Mytilus edulis: one gene and its partner. The protein of the gene in region 1 binds, or shares a complex with, the protein of each later gene. Links are inferred from orthologs where the notes say so. Each region holds a gene or a part of one and is shown in the gene's direction. Other genes may lie near its edges.

Region 1 (10,790 bases):
ACAAAAAATGTAAGACAAGTGCCTGTGGGAGATAAGCAATACGAAGTTTACATGATTTTCCATGTGCAGTGCTCCATAGGTTTGTTAATGATTGTTATGCGCCATCAATCTCATATTATAGATTTTAACCCTAGCTAAACCTTAAATATTACCGAGAACGGGAGGCTTCATATTCATGCATTAGGTGAATTGTTAGAGTGTTTAGTCCACTGCTGCTGGTTCCTAAGTTGCATGACAGGTGAAGTGATCATTATGTACAAGTTAACAGACGCTATATGACTGATTTCTGAATTCCTCCATCAATAAAAACTAACGGCCATTATATCAGCTTAAGGTAGCACAATACAAAGATTTTTCATCCCCAATCAGACACCTTTAAACTGATGTAATTCCACTCATCTTTCTTTAAATTTTATAAATGAGGTACCAAAAAGAAAGAAGAAAGATTAATCTTTCAAATTGTGATAATTTCATTATGACATAATTATTACATAATTAATTGTTGTGTAATAAGTTGCCATATTGTGATGTCCATACTTGAATGAATTTAGCTTCTTTGTTATTCATAGCATCCCAAAATATTTTATAGATTCTTGCACAACACAGTTTGACCTCCAAAACTGTGTCTCAGATTTTTCCTATTGCATTTCATTCTCTCAAAACTATTCAATGAAGTTTGCAACATCAATTCATAAGAGACCACTAAATTCAATTGGGTATAAAATTTGTTCTATTGGTGTTTTTGGAAATCTGAGACACAGTTTTGGTACCTCATTTATAAAATATAAAGAAGGATGAAATGAATTACATCAGTTTAAAGTTGTCTGATTGGGAGTGAAAAGATCTTTGTATTGTGATACCTTAAATGATTGACAAGGTAGTATATATTACTGCGAAAGGGATTGGTAGGTTTAACTTGGGTCTTGATGCTGTGTTGTTAAACCTTTGATCTCTCTCCAAGCACTACACAGGCTAGTGCTAATGTTGTATTATCATAAGCACATAGCAAATACCTAGAAAGATTTCAAAATAATTTTCTATGCTTCACTGATGTTATCAAATTTTCATCATTATTCTAAGACGTAAATTATCAATCCCCTCTCCAAGCACAGGTTAGTGCTAAGATCTGAGATTCATTTTCGACATTCTTCTGATACTGACGTTCTGACAATCTTACACCAAGTCTTTGTATTTAAATGCTAAGGTGTCAACAATTGATAAGCGTCATATTGCATCTCTTCGATGAGCTTCTGATGTTTTAGAACATATGAGATTGTCGTTGAATATTGATTAGTGTTATAATGGATCAGGTCGATGTGTTTCCCTAAAAATAGATGGTCCGTTGATATGTATTTCTCCCTTGTGTTTGGAGTTTTTATCCGAAATCCCGTCAAGTACAAGCTAGTGCTAATGTGTATTGATCATAAGCACTAAACAAGAACCTGGAAACGTTTTGGACATAAGTGGTACCTTTAAAGTTCTTCTGTGTTCTCAATTAATATGCCGATACTGACGACCACTGTCAATATACGAGCTATGTCAGTATAGCGAAGCATGCGCTTCCCGAAAAATGCTTCCGAGCGTTGCGAAGCAATTTCATTGTGTTACTTGTTCGGTCATTCCGTATCAAAAATTGACGGGCGCCTGAATCATGTAAATATAACTAATTTCTTAAAATACCCAAACAAATAGACAAATGATCGAATGACCAAAATCTGTGAATTAAGTTTTTTATCCATCATTGAACTTTTGATGTCTTCCCTTATCCGGCGTTTTTTAACAAATTATTGTATGATTCTTGTAGGCAGTGGCTTCGGCAAAATAGCCTCTTAGGTGCTATTTTACCGGCTCCGACAAAAGTAGCCCCCTTGCGCTATTTTCCCGGCTCCGGCAAAATACCGATTAATATAGAGTTTAAATTTGCTATTTTGCCGGTCTTAATTCAGATTTTTAACCAAGACTATATGTTATATATTTTATAAGGACACTATTTATGTCCAAATGATATATGTGGTTATAGATGTTAATAACCTATCGTTTTGATCGACTTGCCTTCTTAATCGTTCAATTTTGGTGAACTGCACCTATTTAATTACATGTACATACGTTAATTTCTGTAAAACATTGAACGTTCGAAAATGGAAAATAACAAAGGAGTAGGTTCAGTGAGACCCCTTTTTGGCCCCAAAATTAAGCAGTTTTGCAAAATTGTGAAAATGTTATCTTTTAGCTATTTTTTGGAAAGTAGAATGCTAGCTTCTGCTACATAAATATGTGCTGTTTTTGACAATACAATGTACATATCGTGTACTAGCATCATAAAGTCATGCTTAATTACTGAAATCTTCACAATTATAGCATTTTAGTTAAATTTTAGACGGTTTCCGTCTTAAATGAAAGTGGCCGCATTCGTGTTCATTCATAATATTGAAATGTAAGTTGTATTTGATGATAATACATAATATATATAAAGGTTGAGGATGAACACGGATGCGGCCACTTTCAGTTTGACGAAAACCATCTGAAAAGTGACGTTTTTTGGCATATTTGATAGATTTTTCATATTTAAGCTTCAATCGGAGCGTTTTTAATGACTGAATCAAAATCTTTTACATAAACTAATCGAATCAATTGAAATAGACACTTAAGTGTTTAAAAAGTGTCCTAAATATCTCATTAGATGAAACTGAAATTTGGGGCCAAAATCGGCCCTTACCGGACCTACTCCTTTGTCATCAAACAAACTTGTTTTTCGACTGATCATGGAAAGCTACAGCCGGTTTAGGAGTACTTTAAATTTAAACCGGCGAAACTATAATAATCTACTATGGTGCAATGAAATATTATAAGATTAATAACAAGAGATTGTACCGACACGATGCATAGAAATCTATAATGACAGCATTTATTCTATGAATGTTGAAAACTGAAATGATCTTTTTTGCAAAAAATTTTGCAAAAGTGATGCAGACGAAACAGTCAAGTGTTATGTTCATTTCATGTCTGCAGTGGCACCTTTCTACAAATTTACCAAAAAGCAAGGCACAGAAACACTGTTTTTGAAACGCTCGTAAAGCAGTTTTAACATGTTTAAGATTGTTGTGTATTATAGTATAATACTTTTTGTTTCAAAACTAATAGATGATATTTTCATTAAAAGTTTTAATCAGAATGTCCATTTTCTATATGGGTTCGTATGTGTAATATACATGCATGATCATACATTGCAACAATGTATTGTCACATGATGTCTCTGGTATGTGTAATATATATATTTTTAAAAGAAATATTAAAGTGAAAAGGTACTAATATCAATTTTAATATTTATTTTTTAAAAATATATGATATATTATATATTATTATATATATAGTGTTTTTAGAGACTTCTAGTAAATAATATCAATTTTTTTTTGGGAAAAAATTGGTTGCTTATATAATAATCTTTATTGCAAAATTACACCCATGAGGGTCAAGCAATACAATCAAACAATAATTTTATACTGTACAATGCAATACAATGAAATACAATGTAATACAATGAAATACAAAATAATACAATACAATATATAGAATAATAGAACATTAGAGTTCAATTATAAATGTATGTAAAAAAAAAAAAAAAACACCATCATAACCTTGCCTGACACGGGTCTGACTCCCTCAGTTCTAAAGACTTTAATGAAGACTCCAATATGACAAACAAGTTCAGGGATGGGGCTTAGAATGTGTTTAAGTTTATTGAATGCATCAAGATGTTGAAATAATGGTACATAGTCTTTTAGATAAGCAAAAAGATTAGAACGCAAAGATATGTTAATGTCACAATACAAAAAGAAATGAAATTCATCATCTAGGACTTCACATTTTTTACATAATCTTTGTGCTTTTGGAATGTTTCTGTACCTTCCTAATTCAATGCCGAGGGAATGATCACTTAGTCTAAATTTAGAAAGTAACTGCCTATGTATAAAATTATTGCAATTTAAATATTCCTCAGACTGACAATTATTTTTTAATTTCCCATAAAGACAAAGTTTGGATGAGGAATCCCTTTTTGAAAGTTTAATTAAAGTATTTTTTTCATGTTCCTCTGAAACACACTTTTTTATATTACATTTTAACATGTTTTTTGATTGTTTAAAAGGTACATTATTATTAGAGTAATTTTCTGGGTTTATTTTCATTTCTTTAAAAATTTTATCTGCAAATGAGTACCAAGAATAAATTCCTTCTGAATGTAAATTTATGTTTGTTTGTAGAGATTCTTTAACCAGTGGATTAATATCATTACAATTTGTTCTATAAAAATACATGAGTGTTTGAGTTTTTATATAGGAGTCCAAAGTAAATCTACCTAATTCTGATCTGGCACCTATGTTAGTGGCTGTCTTTCTCAGTCCTAATACTGCTTTACAAAATTTAGAATGAACCTTTTCAAAGGGATATTTTTCTGCTAATGCAAGAGTATCACAAAATGTATTATTTACTGCAGCTCTATTAGATGCCCTAAAAGCTGACTGAAAATTATCCATAAACCAAATTTCAGAGTTGTATGTCAAAATAGGTCTTATAAGAGTATCAAATAATTTACATGACAAATTAGTGGGAACAAAATTAAAATTGGACATATATTTTCTCAATAAAAATAAAACTTTAATGCCTTTTTTAGACAGCTCTTCAGTAGTTTTTGTAAAATTTCCCCTATAGTTAATAATATTCCCTAGAAATTTAAAGTCCTTAACTTCAGTCAAAAATTTATTATTGAACAAGAGGGGTGGGGATTGTTTATAAATATTCTGAAAAACTAGAATTTTAGTCTTGTTAGTATTAACACTCAACTGCCATTTAGTGCAATATTTATTCAGTTTATCTAATGCGTTTTGAAGCCACTGGTGTGTCTCAGACAGTAACACTAAATCATCTGCATAGCTGAGAGTTTGGATACTTGAAGTATCAAGAACGGGAGGGTTACAATTTACATCAAAAATTGAATGTAAATCATTTATATAACAATTAAACAAAGTAGGACTTAAACTGTCCCCTTGTCTTACACCTCTAATTATTTGAAAAAACAAAGAGTGTTCATTGCCAATCTTCAGTGCAGACTGGGATAAACTATACATATTTTTCAAAGTAGTATAAAATTTCACACCAACACCATCATTTATCAATTTATACAACAGGCCATTATGCCAAACAGAGTCAAAAGCACCACGTAAATCTACAAAACAAGCAAACAGCTTTTTCTTATTTTTTTTCAAATATTTAGTGACAAGAGTTTTTAAAATAAATATGCTATCAGATGTTCTGTGATTTGAACGAAATCCAAATTGATGACTGGAGAACTTATTTTCATAATGCTTTACTAGTCTTTTATTCAAAATGGAGCTATATAATTTTGCTAGACAGTTTAAAATAGAAATGCCTCTATAGTTACATTATGTCTTCTTTATCTCCAGACTTATGGATTAAAACAATAAAAGCTTTCCTCCAGCTGGTGGGGTAAATACCAGATGATAAAATAAGATTAAAAAGTTTAACTATGGCTGAAACTGTAACAAAGCTACTATATTTTATAATTTCATTAGATATTAAGTCAGGTCCAGCGCTTTTCCCTGATTTTAATTCTTTTATACAGTTCTTAACTTCTGATATTGAAAATGGACTATCAGTACAAATATTATGTTCTAACGTACTCTCAAGCATATTTAAATCTTTTTTAACTTTATCTTTAAAAGAGTTATCATATTTTTCAGCTTTACCAAGATTTTGAAAATGTTCTTCATAGTTATTTAATTCAATATTTAAACAATCATCCTGTTTAGTGTCTTCATTTTTTAATTTTTTAAGGAGTTCCCAATATTTTTTTGGGTCATTTTCTTGCAAATTTGTTAATGTTTCATATAAGTTCTTTTTAAATATAATTTTCTTTCTCTTTACTAATTTTTTAAGTTTTTTAGCATGTCACGGTAAAAAATTTACATTTTAGCTCTAAATTAAATGGTTCTCGTCTCAGTTTAGCTCCTTTTGCTTTAATAGTTTTTTTAAGATCACGTATTTCATGGTCAACCCATGGTTTTCTGTTTAGTATTTTTTGTTTAACTTTTTTATATCTTACAATTTTACATGATTTATTTATATAGGGAATCACTGAAGCGTGACTGGAGCGTGCCCCCTCTTAGGCAGTCAGTGGGCCCCACTTCTAGCCCCACTTATGAAAATTTCTGGATCCGCCACTGAAAACTTTATCAAATATTTTATTATATTTTTTTTTATATATATATTCATTACAGATATTAATATCTTCATTAATTCTATTTGTAGTAGAATATGTTTTTTTTTTTAAAGCAAGAGGCGTACATTTCTGTCAGATAAAAATTTTTGATCTAAACTGTAACACGTGCTTTTATTCTTTTTCTCTTCATTGGTTTCGCGGAATTTTTCACATGAGTAATCATGACCTATCTGTTTCAACCAATCACAGTTGTTGTACCTTTCATTGATTGATCAACATGGCGGCCTCCATGAAACGTAAAATGAAATTACTACCAAAACAATCAGATATCTACGTAACAAACTCTGTATACACAGTGCTATCATGCCTGACTGAACAAACACTACTTGATATTAACTAAATTATAAGATACACGAAGATTTGCGTCCAAATATTTTTTTTGACATTAAATAAAAAAAATCCTTTCTTGTTGCAGTTTTGACAGGTCGATTTTTTTTGCATTTGGTAAACACCCCATGTAACAAGTTGTGCATAAATAATCTCACAATTTAAAATAAATGGGTACGAATTGTACCTTAAAATACCCTCTATTAAAACCTATTTATTTTTATAATGAATATTTTTCCACTTCTTTTAAAGTCATATGAAACCAGTGAGTGGTGAAAAATAATGTTAATCCAATTCTTGAACCAATGCATGTATAATCATAAACTTAGAACTCTGTGAACGATTTTGTCATTTTTTACGCAAATATATCGTATAATTGTCAATTTTTTTTCTCTCTATCTGTTATGATTTAACAAATATGGCTGCTCATTAAATGCCGTGTTTTAAAGCCGAAGTTTACCAATTGTCACCTTATAGTAAATAAATAACAAAAAGCATGGGTATTGAGCACGTGTTAAACATGTACAATCAGATAGTTGTTTATTTTAATGACATATCCATGCGTATTGTGATCGCTGGATTTTTACGAGGAGGGTTACGCTCAGGTCACTATGCATACAGAAAAAATGTTGGCGAATTGCTTCTTGGAAGCATGCAATTAAAAACTAATAAACTTCTTTTAAATGTGGACAAATTAAAGAATTTTCCTCAGAAAAAGGTATATGTACATAAGTTGTATAATGAAAACTATCCATTTAGTTATAAAAAACATATACATGTACAATGTATGCATGATTTTTTTTTAATTTGAGGTTTCTTATGACTTTAAAGGAAGATAAAGTATTAACAATTGCAGAGCCTTTTTAAATGAGATATGTCATTTATTTGACATGATGACATCTGTATTGGTAGTGTAGAAGCCTGTTGAGGCTTTTATACATGCTTTCAATTCATGGCGATTTCTGTATAAATTAAATTAAAAATAAATCAAAATACAAATAAAAGATTAAAAGGATAAAGGTGTATACATTCACTAGTCCAAGATTACTCTGTGACTTCCAAGGGCTGTTTTTGCCATATATAATGGTGGGGCCTTGGGACCCTAGCTTTCTGGCAAAACAACCTTAGACATCAGAGTAATCTCGGACTATACGATCACTTGCTGTGTAATGATTTTTCACAGATAAGATTGCTGTAAAATTAAGAAATCTCAGATACAATGTCATGTGCAATGTACACTTTATAATAATGTAGATTTAACATTGGTCATCAATTCATTATAATTGTATATAATTTTCACCTGAAATTTTTCATGGTTTATACATACAGGCCATTAGGAGTATTTATATGCGATCAAACCTGATCAAGGGAATATTGTGTCAGTAGTTTTATAGAGATAACTTGGGCACTATTATTACATTTATTAAAAAATGCCTGTTAAAAAAAGCATAACAATTAAAGTTAAAATTTAACCATATAAACCAAACACTGCAACTATGTTTTTTATGCCCCACCTACAATAGTAGATGGGCATTATGTTTTCTGGTCTGTGGGTTCCTTTTGTCCGTCTGTTCGTTAGTTCGTCCGTCTGTTTGTTCGTCCTGGTTCAGGTGAAAGTTTTTGGTCAAGGTAGTTTTTGATGAAGTTGAAGTCCAATCAACTTGAAAGTTACAAAATGTAGTACACATGTTCCCCATGATATGATCTTTCTAATTTTAAATTAAAGTTTTGACCCCAATTTCACGGTCCACTGAACATAGAAAATGATAGTGTGAAGTTCAGGTTAAAGTTTTTGGTCAAGGTAGTTTTTGATGAAGTTCAAGTCACATCAACTTGAAACTTAGTACACATGTTCCCTATGATATGATCCTTCTAATTTTAATTCCAAATTAATTTTGATTCCAATTTCAGAGTCCACCGAACATGGAAAATGATAGTGCGAGTGGGGCATCCCTGTACTATGGACACATTCTTGTTTCTTTCTTAACTGTTATCTCATATCATATTTAGATATTTATATTTTCAGACTTGTAGCATGGCTGTTAAACGTGGACATATTGACATTGACCCAGATTATGAAGATGTTACAGAGCAGCAGTCCAAGAGACAAAGAGTATTTGAAGAAGATGGTTTGTATCATTTCACTAGATATTACATTAAAAAAAACCAACACTAATGCAGGAATTATCAATTTACAAAATTTTAGGAACACCTACACCAAAGGCTAATGTAACCACATATGTTGCCATCAATTGGCATCCATTAAAAGAAATCATGATGTGAAAGAAACAGACTGAAAAGCTTAAAAAGATATTAATATGAAAATCTTGACATATTTACTGCTGATGATGTTTTGAAGAATGATGATCAAGAGATAGCATTGTCTTTCTGTTAAGAATTATGAAAAAATCGAAATAGTAGATATAGTTTTCAGAAGCAGATAAAAATACCTATAAATATGTTTTCCAGAAGCAGATATAAATACTTTAAATTAGTATCAAATTGATATTGATTAATTAATCTATTTCAGCTAAGGAAGCAACAAGACGGAAGATTGAGAATATTATTCACAGTCAGTTTACAATGGAGATACAGAACAAAGAAGAAGAAGTAGATGAGACCGATCAGGTAAAAACCAGGTGTTTTATTTGCAAAAATTCAAGTAAGAATGACAGCTGTATGAGATATGCTAGGTTATAAAACAAATTAAAGTTTAAAAAGGCAACTCAAACTTATTTGCTCACCTGTGTATTCATTAAGGTTAGGATTAAGAGGAAATATTTTCAGAATAGGAAGCAAATTCATTCTGGCGAGGGGTCTGGGGCTGATTATGGTCTCCAGTGGGTCCAGGGGGCTGAAAAGAAATATAGCACGTTTGAAGTAATTTTTGAGGGCCTTTCTTATATTTTTATGTACACAATGTAGATATTATTGTTCATGAGCTATTGAGACAATTAACAATTAGATATTTAAGACAGAATGGTTAAACTTATGACAATATTGGACGTTGCAGAGAAGCATTGTTAATTTAATACCATCAAATAATGTTCAACAAACAAAGAAATCTGTTTTTGCTTGGAACTGTTAGAAAACATAATCTAGGAATATCAGCTTAAACCATTGAATGTAATTTATATTGAAAGTTTGTTTGTACTTTGTAGATTTAAGTGTTGCTCATTACTTTGTAAACTCTCATCAGTGGTGAAAATTGGCACTGGTCCGATGGTCTGAGACCAGTAGAATTTGTGTCGAACCAGTAGATTTTGTCAGCTGGTGGTCCAATGGACCAGTAGAAATTTGTCGATAAAACTCACTGATTGCATCAAAATATTTGGTTTTTTTTTGCAAACAAATTTACCTGCAAAATCAATTACACATACTGGGGGTTCTAAGTATTGCAATTAATCAAGGTAATTAGTATCTTGGATGAGCGTCCTTCACAACAAAACAAAATGTTGGAAATTTTTGGGAGGACTGCTGGACAAAAAAAAAAAAATAAGTGTCGTTCAAAAGGAAGATACAGTACGGGTAGGGACTTATTTTTATGGATGTCTTAATCCGTCTAGTCGGATATGAATAATCCGACATTTTTATGGTAGGTAGTATGGTCATTAATCAACAGATCCAGGTGTGAATGGTCCTTTCATCTTAATCCGTGTTGCTAGAATTACGGTTCACTGATTTCAGAATCAGATTACCTGTAATTTTAACCTCTCAGTCACTTTATTGATTATATTAGTTCTACATCGTATTTGACATAAAATATTTTTACAGGTGAAGTACTGGAGAAAACTTTGTTTAATAAAAATAGCCTATTTTTGTTAAATTATGGTTTTGATATTTCAACTGTTATTTATTTTCTTTGTTCCTAAAAAATATTTTTATTTTATGTTCCTTTTCGTTTGTTTTTTTTGTTTTTGTATCTTTTTCTTATTTGTTTGCATAAATTTTGTTAACATATATATTTTTACATGTATTCTATTTCTTGAAGCTTACAGTTATTTTTATTTTACTGATTTATTTTCCACGTAAATCCATTGATTAGCAGAATGCTGTCTCAAGTGCTGCTGCATACGTTTTAGTTTGATGCGGTCACATGCAAAATATTTCTATTATTTGTATTTAATATTCAGTCTGTGTTGTGTCAGTTTCGAGATAAAAATAATTA
Region 2 (9,380 bases), on another chromosome or scaffold:
TATATGTGTATATTTATTTTTACTTCCTCAAGTAAATAAAAATTACTTGTATAAGTAGTACCCTGACTGTAGGAAAACACTTAGTTTTCTATTAATTAAATATGTTGTAGGAACATGACATCATCACTTTATGACATCCTCAAGTTAGGAAAACCTGCCATTTTCAGGGATCACCATGACCTTTTTTTAGTGCAGAGGTATGCCACCCTTCAATTCCAATAAAAAGTAAATCTTTGCAAAAGTTTTACTGTCTGTTTCTAAGAAATTCCTTGTTTATATAGTATATTGTTAGGTTTTTTTTGTGATTCTCTGATAGACTAATAGTTGTTAATATATATCTGTCATTTGGTCTCTTGAGAAGAGCTGTCTCATTGGCAATTAAACCACTTCTTTTTTATATTTCCCATCAGAAACAGCCATAGCTAGACAAAAGTATGAAATTGAGATATAGAATGATATCCAATGAGACTACTATCTACCTTAATCAAAATGATATGTTATGGATATGATGGATGTAAGCAACTATAGATCACTGTATGGCATTCATCAATGAGTGTAACTGATACTATATCATAGACATAAACAATTCAAACAAGCAAACCAACACTGGCAACAGCCTGATTTACATGTAAACCTGAATTTAAGCAAAACTTGAATAATTACAAGAATCTAAATTAAACCTCTAGCTCCCACAATCAAACTTAACATAACTTAAACTAGTACTCATAATCAGTCCTACATTTTAGTTATATACAAATGTACATAAATGCAAGGCCAGCCATACATGTTCCTCAAAGGTTTAAGCCTCTTACATGTCTTAACAATCATTACAGACTTTGATTTATATCAGTTGCACCAGTTTTTGCCAAGATATTCACTGCTGTTGTCCCTTACTTTTAGTTGATGCAATTTATCTTTTCTATATTTCCAGGGAGATTTGCATAAAGCTGTGCATGCTGATGAAGCTGTGTGGACATTAGGTATAAGTTTGTTTAATAATTTGAGTATTGACAAAGGACTTTTGTAAATCATTTTGTATCAGAAACACTATATATAAGGTATCAATCACTTTTATTTTTATTTTGTACATAAATCAGGCCTTTATTTTTTCTTGTTTAAATTGTTTTACATTTGTCATTTAGGGGCTTTTAAGTTAACTATGGGGTATGGGTTTGCTCTTTGTTAAAGAGTAAAGACTGTACTGTGAACTATGGCTGATAACTTCTATTTCATTTGTTCTCCTGTGGAGAGTTGTCTCATTGGCAGTTATACCACATCTTCTTATTTTTTTATATGATAAAAAATGTGTGATCAATAATATAAAATTGGCTGACTCAAAAGAGAATTAAGAAAACATACATGCCATATTCATGATATTCTTATATCACTGTTCATTTAATATTAATCTTTTATAATATTATATATATGTAATATTAAATTGGCATGATCAGTGAAACCGAAATTGACATAGAACTTTCGTTGAATTGTCAGCATTGGTTTTGTTCTGGTTTACTGAATTGAATAGAAAGACTTGAAAAATTTTACTGACTATGTACATACATGTTTACAGAAGATAAGAAGTTGATAAGAATCTGTTTACCAAAGGTCCATAGTACTGCTGGCAACTGTTGGAAGTCATTGTTAAAATCACAATATGAAGCAGATCCCTCTACCTTTGATCAGATGGAACAAAAATTAACATTGGAAAAATTTCAGAACGAGGTAAAGCAGATTATTACAAATTTAATTCTAAAAATGACAGCAAAAAATATCCTGTTATGTATGCATGATATATTCAATTAGACTATAAACATGATAAATGTATACATTTTTAATTTTAGTTTCTTGTGTATAATTCGGAGTTTAGTATGACGTCCATTATCACTGAACTAGCATACATATTTGTTTAGGGCCCAGCTGAAGGACGCCTCTGGGTGCGGGAGTTTCTCGCTACATTGAAGACCCATAGGTGGCTTTCAGCTGTTGTCTGCTCTATGGTCAGGTTGTTGTCGCTTTGACACATTCCCCGTTTCCATTCTAAATTTTATGTATTATAAATTTCAAAATTCTTTATCAGTAATTTGATTTACCTCTGAACTGACATTCATTAGCTATACTGAATTTACTGTGTCTATTTAATTTAGAATATTAGTTTTGGTATATTTTAGGGTCTGAATCAGGGGTCTTTCATTTCATTATTCATTTAATTTTATACCATTTTGTTCTTTTATCTATTATGACATTATTCTTGATTCTTTATATTTTAAAACCCTAGTATTCTCAATTCTTTATATTTAAACCCCATTATTCTTTATTTTTATTTTTTTGGCCTATTTTTCTCTTTTCTTCTATTTGCCCTGTATTCTGGACATTTTGCCAATTATTCCCTGTTTTGTAAACCCCATCCAGACCCTCATATTGATTTTTGGTGTTTAAACGCCACTTTTAAGCTCTGGATTTAGGCTATTTCATGGCACCCAGTTTTTAATTTGGTGGAGGAAGCCCGAGTGCCAGAAGAAAACCACAGACCTTTGAAAGGAAAACTGACAATCCTAGTCAATTAAGATTGAAATCGAGTGCACCCACATGAGCAGGGTTCGAACTCACAACCTCAGTGTTGACTGGCTAGTGATTACAGTAGTAACTACTTAGACCACTCGTCCACCGAGGCTTCCAACCCTCATATAGTTACATATATATTACTCAATCCTCAACTTCGTACTTTATTTGGCCTTTTTAACTTTTTTGGATTCGAGCGTCACTGATGAGTCTTTTGTAGACGAAACGCGCATCTGGCGTATATGCAAAATTTAGTCCTGTTATTTATGATGAGTTTATATTTAATACAATTGTATATACTGTTAATTCAGAAACTAATGTTGCATATATATATTATTGCTAAAATTTGACTGCTGGCAAACATGTTAAATGTAAATGTGATTGCTAAAAATTTATAAGGGAGATCTAGATCACTACTGGAATTACGAATGCAAGTTTTCTGTAATGTAAATCTGATACTGCAGCATTTTTCACAATTAATAAAATCATCACAATAATTATGAATTTACATTAGGACTAGATTAAAAAATAATTGGATCTAAATTGTGAAATTTTACACAAAATAATGAATGACAATAATTATTTAATGATTGGTAATATTTTAATGCCAAAAAAATAGATATAAATTCAGTGTTAAAGACCATGAAAACAGGATGGATTGAAAATAAGGAAACATTGACTTTTAAAATAGAATTAAGTACATATTGTAGAAGACTTATTCTTAAATTGATAAAACTGATAACTTTCACTGAATTCCAAGTAGAGTCTTTATATTTATTCTCTTCATGCCAACATATTCTAAATTATATAATCAAAAAAGGAACTAGTAAAGTTAAGTTACTAATACTGTTGTCTGCTCTCCAATGAAATGTGTTTAATGAGAATAATGTAATTTAATAATAATGGCATATAAACATGAAATATGTGTAACTGGACAATAAGAAAAGAACAATCAATCAATACAAATGTTGATATAGAAATAGAATTTTAAAGTAACATGATGTATGTGTAACAGTATAAAACATAAAAAAAATATGTTTGGATTTTGAGAACTGAATGGCAGTCTTTACTTCATTGAACTTATTTTTAGCTAATAAATATATATTTTTAATTACTTTATAAACAAGATTATATCTCCATTTCAGGGAGAATTTGGCGATTTTCTTCATTAAAGACAAAAGTAGGGTAAGGTTTGGTCTATTTTGTCAGTATTTAATTAAATTTGATAAAAACATAATAATAATCATATGAAAGTTTCTAATAAACATGATAAATTTTTCAAAACCAAAATTTTAAGCATTTTTAGCTCACCTGGCCCGAAGGGCCATGTGAGCTTTTCCCATCACTTTGCGTATCCGGTGTATCCGGTGACCCGGCCAACTAACAAAGATGGCCGCCACGTCTAAAAATAGAACATAGGGGTAAAATGCAGTTTTTGGCTTATAACTCAAAAACCAAAGCATTTAGAGCAAATCTGACAGGGGTAAAATTGTTATCAGGACAAGATCTATCTGCCTTGACATTTTCAGATGAATCGGACAACCTGTTGTTAGGTTGCTGCCCCTGAATTGGTAATTTTAAGGAAATTTTGCTGTTTTTGGTTATTATCTTGAACATTATTATAGATAGAGATAAACTGTAAACAGCAATAATGTTCAGCAAAGTTAGATTTACAAATAAGTCAACATGACCGAAATGGTCAGTTGACCCCTTTAGGAGTTATTGCCCTTTATAGTCAATTTTTAACCATTTTTCGTAAATCTAAGTAATCTTTTACAAAAATCTTCTCCTCTGAAACTACAGGGCCAAAGTAATCCAAACTTGGCCACAATCATCTTTGGGGTATCTAGTTTAAAAAATGTGTCCGGTGACTTGGCCTTCCAACCAAGATGGCCGCCACGGCTAAAAATAGAACATAGGGGTAAAATGCAGTTTTTGGGTTATAACTCAAAAACCAAAGCATTTAGAGCAAATCTGACATGGTGTAAAATTGTTATAATCAGGTCAAGATCTATCTGCCCTGAAATTTACAGACCAATCGGACAACCCTTTGTTGGGTTGCTGCCCCTGAATTGGTAATTTTAAGGACATTTTGCAGTTTTTGGATATTATCTTGAATATTATTATAGATAGAGATAAACTGTAAACAGCAATAATGTACAGTTAAGTAAGACCTTAAAAAGAAGTCAACATGACCAAAATGGTCAATTGATCTCCTAAGGAGTTATTGCCCTTTATATAGTAATTTTTTAACAATTTTCACAAAATTTGTAAAATTTTACTAATATTTTCAACTGTAACTACTGGGCCAAGTTCATTATAGATAGAGATAATTGTAAGCAGCAAGTATGTTCAGTAAAGTAAGACCTACAAACACATCACCATCACCAAACCACAATTTTGTCTTGAATTCATCTGTGTCCTTTGTTTAATATTCACATAGACCAAGGTGAGCGACACAGGCTCTAGAGCCTTTAGTTTTGGTTATTATCTTGAATATTTTTATAGATAGAGATAAACTGTAAACAGCAATAATGTTCAGCAAAGTAAGATTTACAAATAAATCAAAATGACCGAAATGGTCAATTGACCCCCTAAGGAGTTATTGTCTTTTATAGTCAATTTTTATCAATTTTCATAAAATTTGTAAATTTTTATTAACATTTTCCACTGAAACTACTGGGCCAAGTTCATTATAGATAGAGATAATTGTAAGCAGCAAGACTTTAGTAAAGTAAGATGTACACATCACCATCACCAAAACACAATTTTGTCATGAATCCATCTGCTTCCTTTGTTTAATATTCACATAGACCAAGGTGAGCGACACAGGCTCTTTAGAGCCTCTAGTTTTATTCTGTCAATATTTGATATTTTAAAGTAAAAAATTCAATTCTCTTTTTATCAAAACAAAAGAATCTGAATGTTAATTTTGCATTAAATCATTATAGAAAATAACTGTGTACCCCTTTTAATAATACTATTATAGCTCTACTATTGATACCTACATTGGAAACAACGTATAGGAGCTAGCTCCAGCTATTATCCTTAAATCATGATTTTGACTAAAAAATCAGAAAACAGCTGAAAAGCTTTAATCAAACAGACCATGTATTTTTAGTAAGAAAAGCATGCCTTTAAGAAATTTTTGCACTGTGGTCTTAAATTTTACATCTGAGTCTTTAATAAGGTATCTAGTTCAATTTTAGATTGTTTAGAAAAATTCCTGAGAGTTATTATTTCCAATTTCCAAAAACTGATGAAAAGAAGACAACACTGTAAGTTGACCTTATTAGAAAATTAAGTAAGTTGAACACTAATAGCACAATATTGTTTTATTATTTTACAGAATCCTGGTTTTGACTTCAGTGGTGCTTCAATAACAGGCAACTATCATGATGGAGGACCAAAATTAGGCTAAAGTCATCTCATAGTAATTCTTAGACATTTTTCACAATGAATTAAGGAAAATTTTAAAAATTTGATATTATACTGAACTATTGAACAAACATTGAAATGGAGGAGGAACACTATTGTATGAATTGTAAATGTGAACTAAGAAAGCCATACATTGTATGTAAAGCTGAAGTATGTCACTCCATGACTATCTGTGTTCATTGCTTCTCTAAAGGAGTTATATTTGGTGTTCATCAAAACGATCATCCCTACACTGTTTGTAGAACAGATTTTCCGCTGTTTGAACAGATATGGACGGCAGAGGAAGAAACAACGTTACTTGACATCATGTCAGACTGTGGCTATGGCAACTGGTCAGATGTAGCTCACAGGCTACGGACAAAAAGTCAGTCAGAATGTCAGAATCATTACAATAAATATTTCATTGATAAACCTCATGAGGACTTGCCTCACTTTAAAGAGGCAGAGAGGACTGTTTATCCTCAGCCAATCCTATATAAATTGTGTGACGACCCTCCACGCTACCCAGAAAACAACGACCTCAGTGGGTATATGGCTGGAAGGGGTGATTTCACAATAGAATATGACAACTTCATGGAACTGGAAATCAAACATTTAGATTTTGATGAGGAGGATGAAGATAGTAAAATGCAGTTGGGAGTTCTGGATGTGTATTACGATTGCATGAAAGAGAGATGGAAAAGGAAGAAAATTGTCAGAGATTATGGTCTGATCAACATACCAAAAGTACAAGTGGCCAGCCGTAGATACAGTTACACCATCAAGGACCTTATTGACAAGTTGAGAGTATTCATAACATTGGTGTCACCTGATGAATATTGTAAATATATTGAGGCCATACATTATGAGAGAGAATTAAAACATGATATCAAGAAACTTCAGAGCAGAAGAGAAAATGGCATGACCTCTATGCAGCAGAGTAAAATGTATCACATCCTTAACTCAAGGAGAAATGTAGTGAAATCTAAAAGACATCTTATGGTAGACCTATTATCACATTTAAAAGATGAAACTTCTTGTCAAACATGGCTTCAAAGGCAGGCTGTGCTAGACAATATGTCAAAAGGAGGCTTAGTTGTGTTACCAAATGCTCCTCGGAAAACAGCACCTCCATTAGACATTTCTAGTTTGCCAGGTTATGAAAAACTAGGAGAAACAGAACAAGAGATTTGCGCTAATATTAGATTGGTTCCAGAGGCTTATATAGAATTTCGTGATTCCCTGATTAATGAGTGTAAGAAAAATGGATGTTTAAAACTTGGACAGGCTAGAAGTTTGATCAAAATTGATGTTAACAAAACAAGAAAATTATATGATTTTTTGTTGACTAATGGGATGATTAATAAAGAGTAGCTCCTATACTTATTCCAGATATTTTTTGCAGCATTGTATGAAAGTCAATGTACATGAATTAAAAGAACAGAACTTTTTATTCATGATATTTTCCATCAAAATCTAATTTTTAAGAATTTATAAAAGCAGATGAAATTTATTAATATTTGTCCAAAACAAAGAGGCTGAACAGTGTTCTAGATAGAAACTGATGACATAGTTGCACATTTATATAAAAAGTGCACTTGAGCACAGCTATCATTTTCACAACAGATTTTCCTTTTAAATTGACAACTATAAAAAGCCTTTTTTAGCTCACCTGGTCCGAAGGGCCAAGTGAGCTTTTCTCATCACTTTGCGTCCGGCGTCGTCCATCTTCGTTAACTTTTACAAAAATCTTTTCCTCTGAAACTACTGGGCCAAATTAAACCAAACCTGGCCACAATCATCATTGGGGTATCTAGATTGAAAAATGTGTGGCGTGACCCGGCCAACCAAGTTGAACCAACCAAGATGGCCGCCACAGCTAAAAATAGTGCATAGGGGTAAAATGCAGTTTTTGGCTTATAACTCAAAAACCAAAGCATTTAAAGGAAATCTGACCGTGATAAAAATGTTTATCAGGTCAAGATCTATCTGCCCTGAAATTTTCAGATGAATCGGTCAACCTGTTGTTGGGTTGCTGCCCCTGAATTGGTAATTTTGAGGAAATTTTGCTGTTTTTGGTTATTATCTTGAATATTATTATAGATATAGATAAACTGTACACAGCAATAATGTTCAGCAAAGTTAGATTTACAAATAAGTCAACATGACCGAAATGGTCAGTTGACCCCTTTAGGAGTTATTGCCCTTTATAGTCAATTTTTAACCATTTTTCGTAAATCTTAAGTAATCTTTTACAAAAATATTCTCCTCTGAAACTACTGGGCCAAATTAATCCAAACTTGGCCAACATCATCTTTGGGGTATCTAGTTTGAAAAATGTGTCCGATGACCTGGCCATCCAACTAAGATGGCTGCCACGGCTAAAAATAAAACAGGGGTAAAATGTTAAAACAGGGGTAAAATGTAGATTTTGGCTTATAACTCTGAAACCAAAGCATTTAGAGCAAATCTGACAAGAAGTTAAATTGTTAATCAAGTCAATATCTATCTGCCCTGAAATTTTTAGATGAATTGGACAACCGGTTGTTGGGATGCTGACCCCAATTGGTAATTTTTAAAGAAATTTTGCCGTTTTTGGTTATTATCTTTAATACTAATATAGATGGAGATAAACTGTAAACAGCAATAATGTTCAGCAAAGTAAGATCTACAAATAAGTCAGCATGACCTAAATGGTCAATTGACCCCTTAAGGAGTTATTGCCCTTTATAGTCAATTTTTAACAATTTTCATTAATTTGGTAAATTTATGTAAATTTTTACCAAATAATTTTCTCTGTTACTAATGGGCAAAGTTCATTATAGATATAATTGTAAGAAGCAAGAACGTTCAGTAAAGTAAGAACTTCAAACACATCACCATAACCAAAATACAATTTTGTCATGAATCTATTTGTGTCCTTTGTTTAAAAGAGGGACGAAAGATACCAAAGGGACAGTCAAACTCATAAATCTAAAACAAACTGACAACGCCATGGCTAAAAATGAAAAAGACAAACAGAAAAACAATAGTACACACGACACAACATAGAAAACTAAAGAATAAACAACACGAACCCCACCAAAAACTAGGGGTGATCTCAGGTGCTCCGGAAGGGTAAGCAGATCCTGCTCCACATGTGTCACCCGTCGTGTTGCTTATGTGATTACAAATCCGGTAAATAGTCTAATTCGGTAGGTCATATTCATGAAAGGGAAGGGTATTGTATATATGCACATAGACCAAGGTGAGCGACACAGGCTCTTTAGAGCCTCTAGTTTGTTATTATCTTGAATATTATTATAGATAGAGAAAAACTGTAAACAACAATAATGTACAGCAAAGTAAGACTAAAAATAAGTCAACAAGACCAAAATGGTCAATTGACCCCCTAAGGAGTGATT

The links.
Region 2: YEATS domain-containing protein 2-like (region 1) and transcriptional adapter 2-alpha-like share a complex: the UniProt entries of both Homo sapiens proteins name them as parts of the ADA2A-containing complex. The link is inferred for Mytilus edulis from reciprocal best matches to the Homo sapiens genes YEATS2 and TADA2A.

Annotation. Positions count from the first base shown.
Region 1 is NC_092345.1:32,742,974-32,753,763, reverse strand, and holds the start of YEATS domain-containing protein 2-like, read left to right. Parts: upstream 1-6,526; 5' UTR 6,527-7,118; coding exon 7,119-7,340; intron 7,341-8,648; coding exon 8,649-8,751; intron 8,752-9,152; coding exon 9,153-9,250; intron 9,251-10,790. UniProt on the Homo sapiens protein: Chromatin reader component of the ATAC complex, a complex with histone acetyltransferase activity on histones H3 and H4. YEATS2 specifically recognizes and binds histone H3 crotonylated at 'Lys-27' (H3K27cr).
Region 2 is NC_092350.1:28,512,594-28,521,973, reverse strand, and holds transcriptional adapter 2-alpha-like, read left to right. Parts: upstream 1-6,075; coding exon 6,076-7,350; 3' UTR 7,351-7,358; downstream 7,359-9,380. Other genes in the region: nudC domain-containing protein 2-like, read left to right, coding at 932-980, 1,571-1,722, 5,909-5,980. UniProt on the Homo sapiens protein: Component of the ATAC complex, a complex with histone acetyltransferase activity on histones H3 and H4. Required for the function of some acidic activation domains, which activate transcription from a distant site. Binds double-stranded DNA.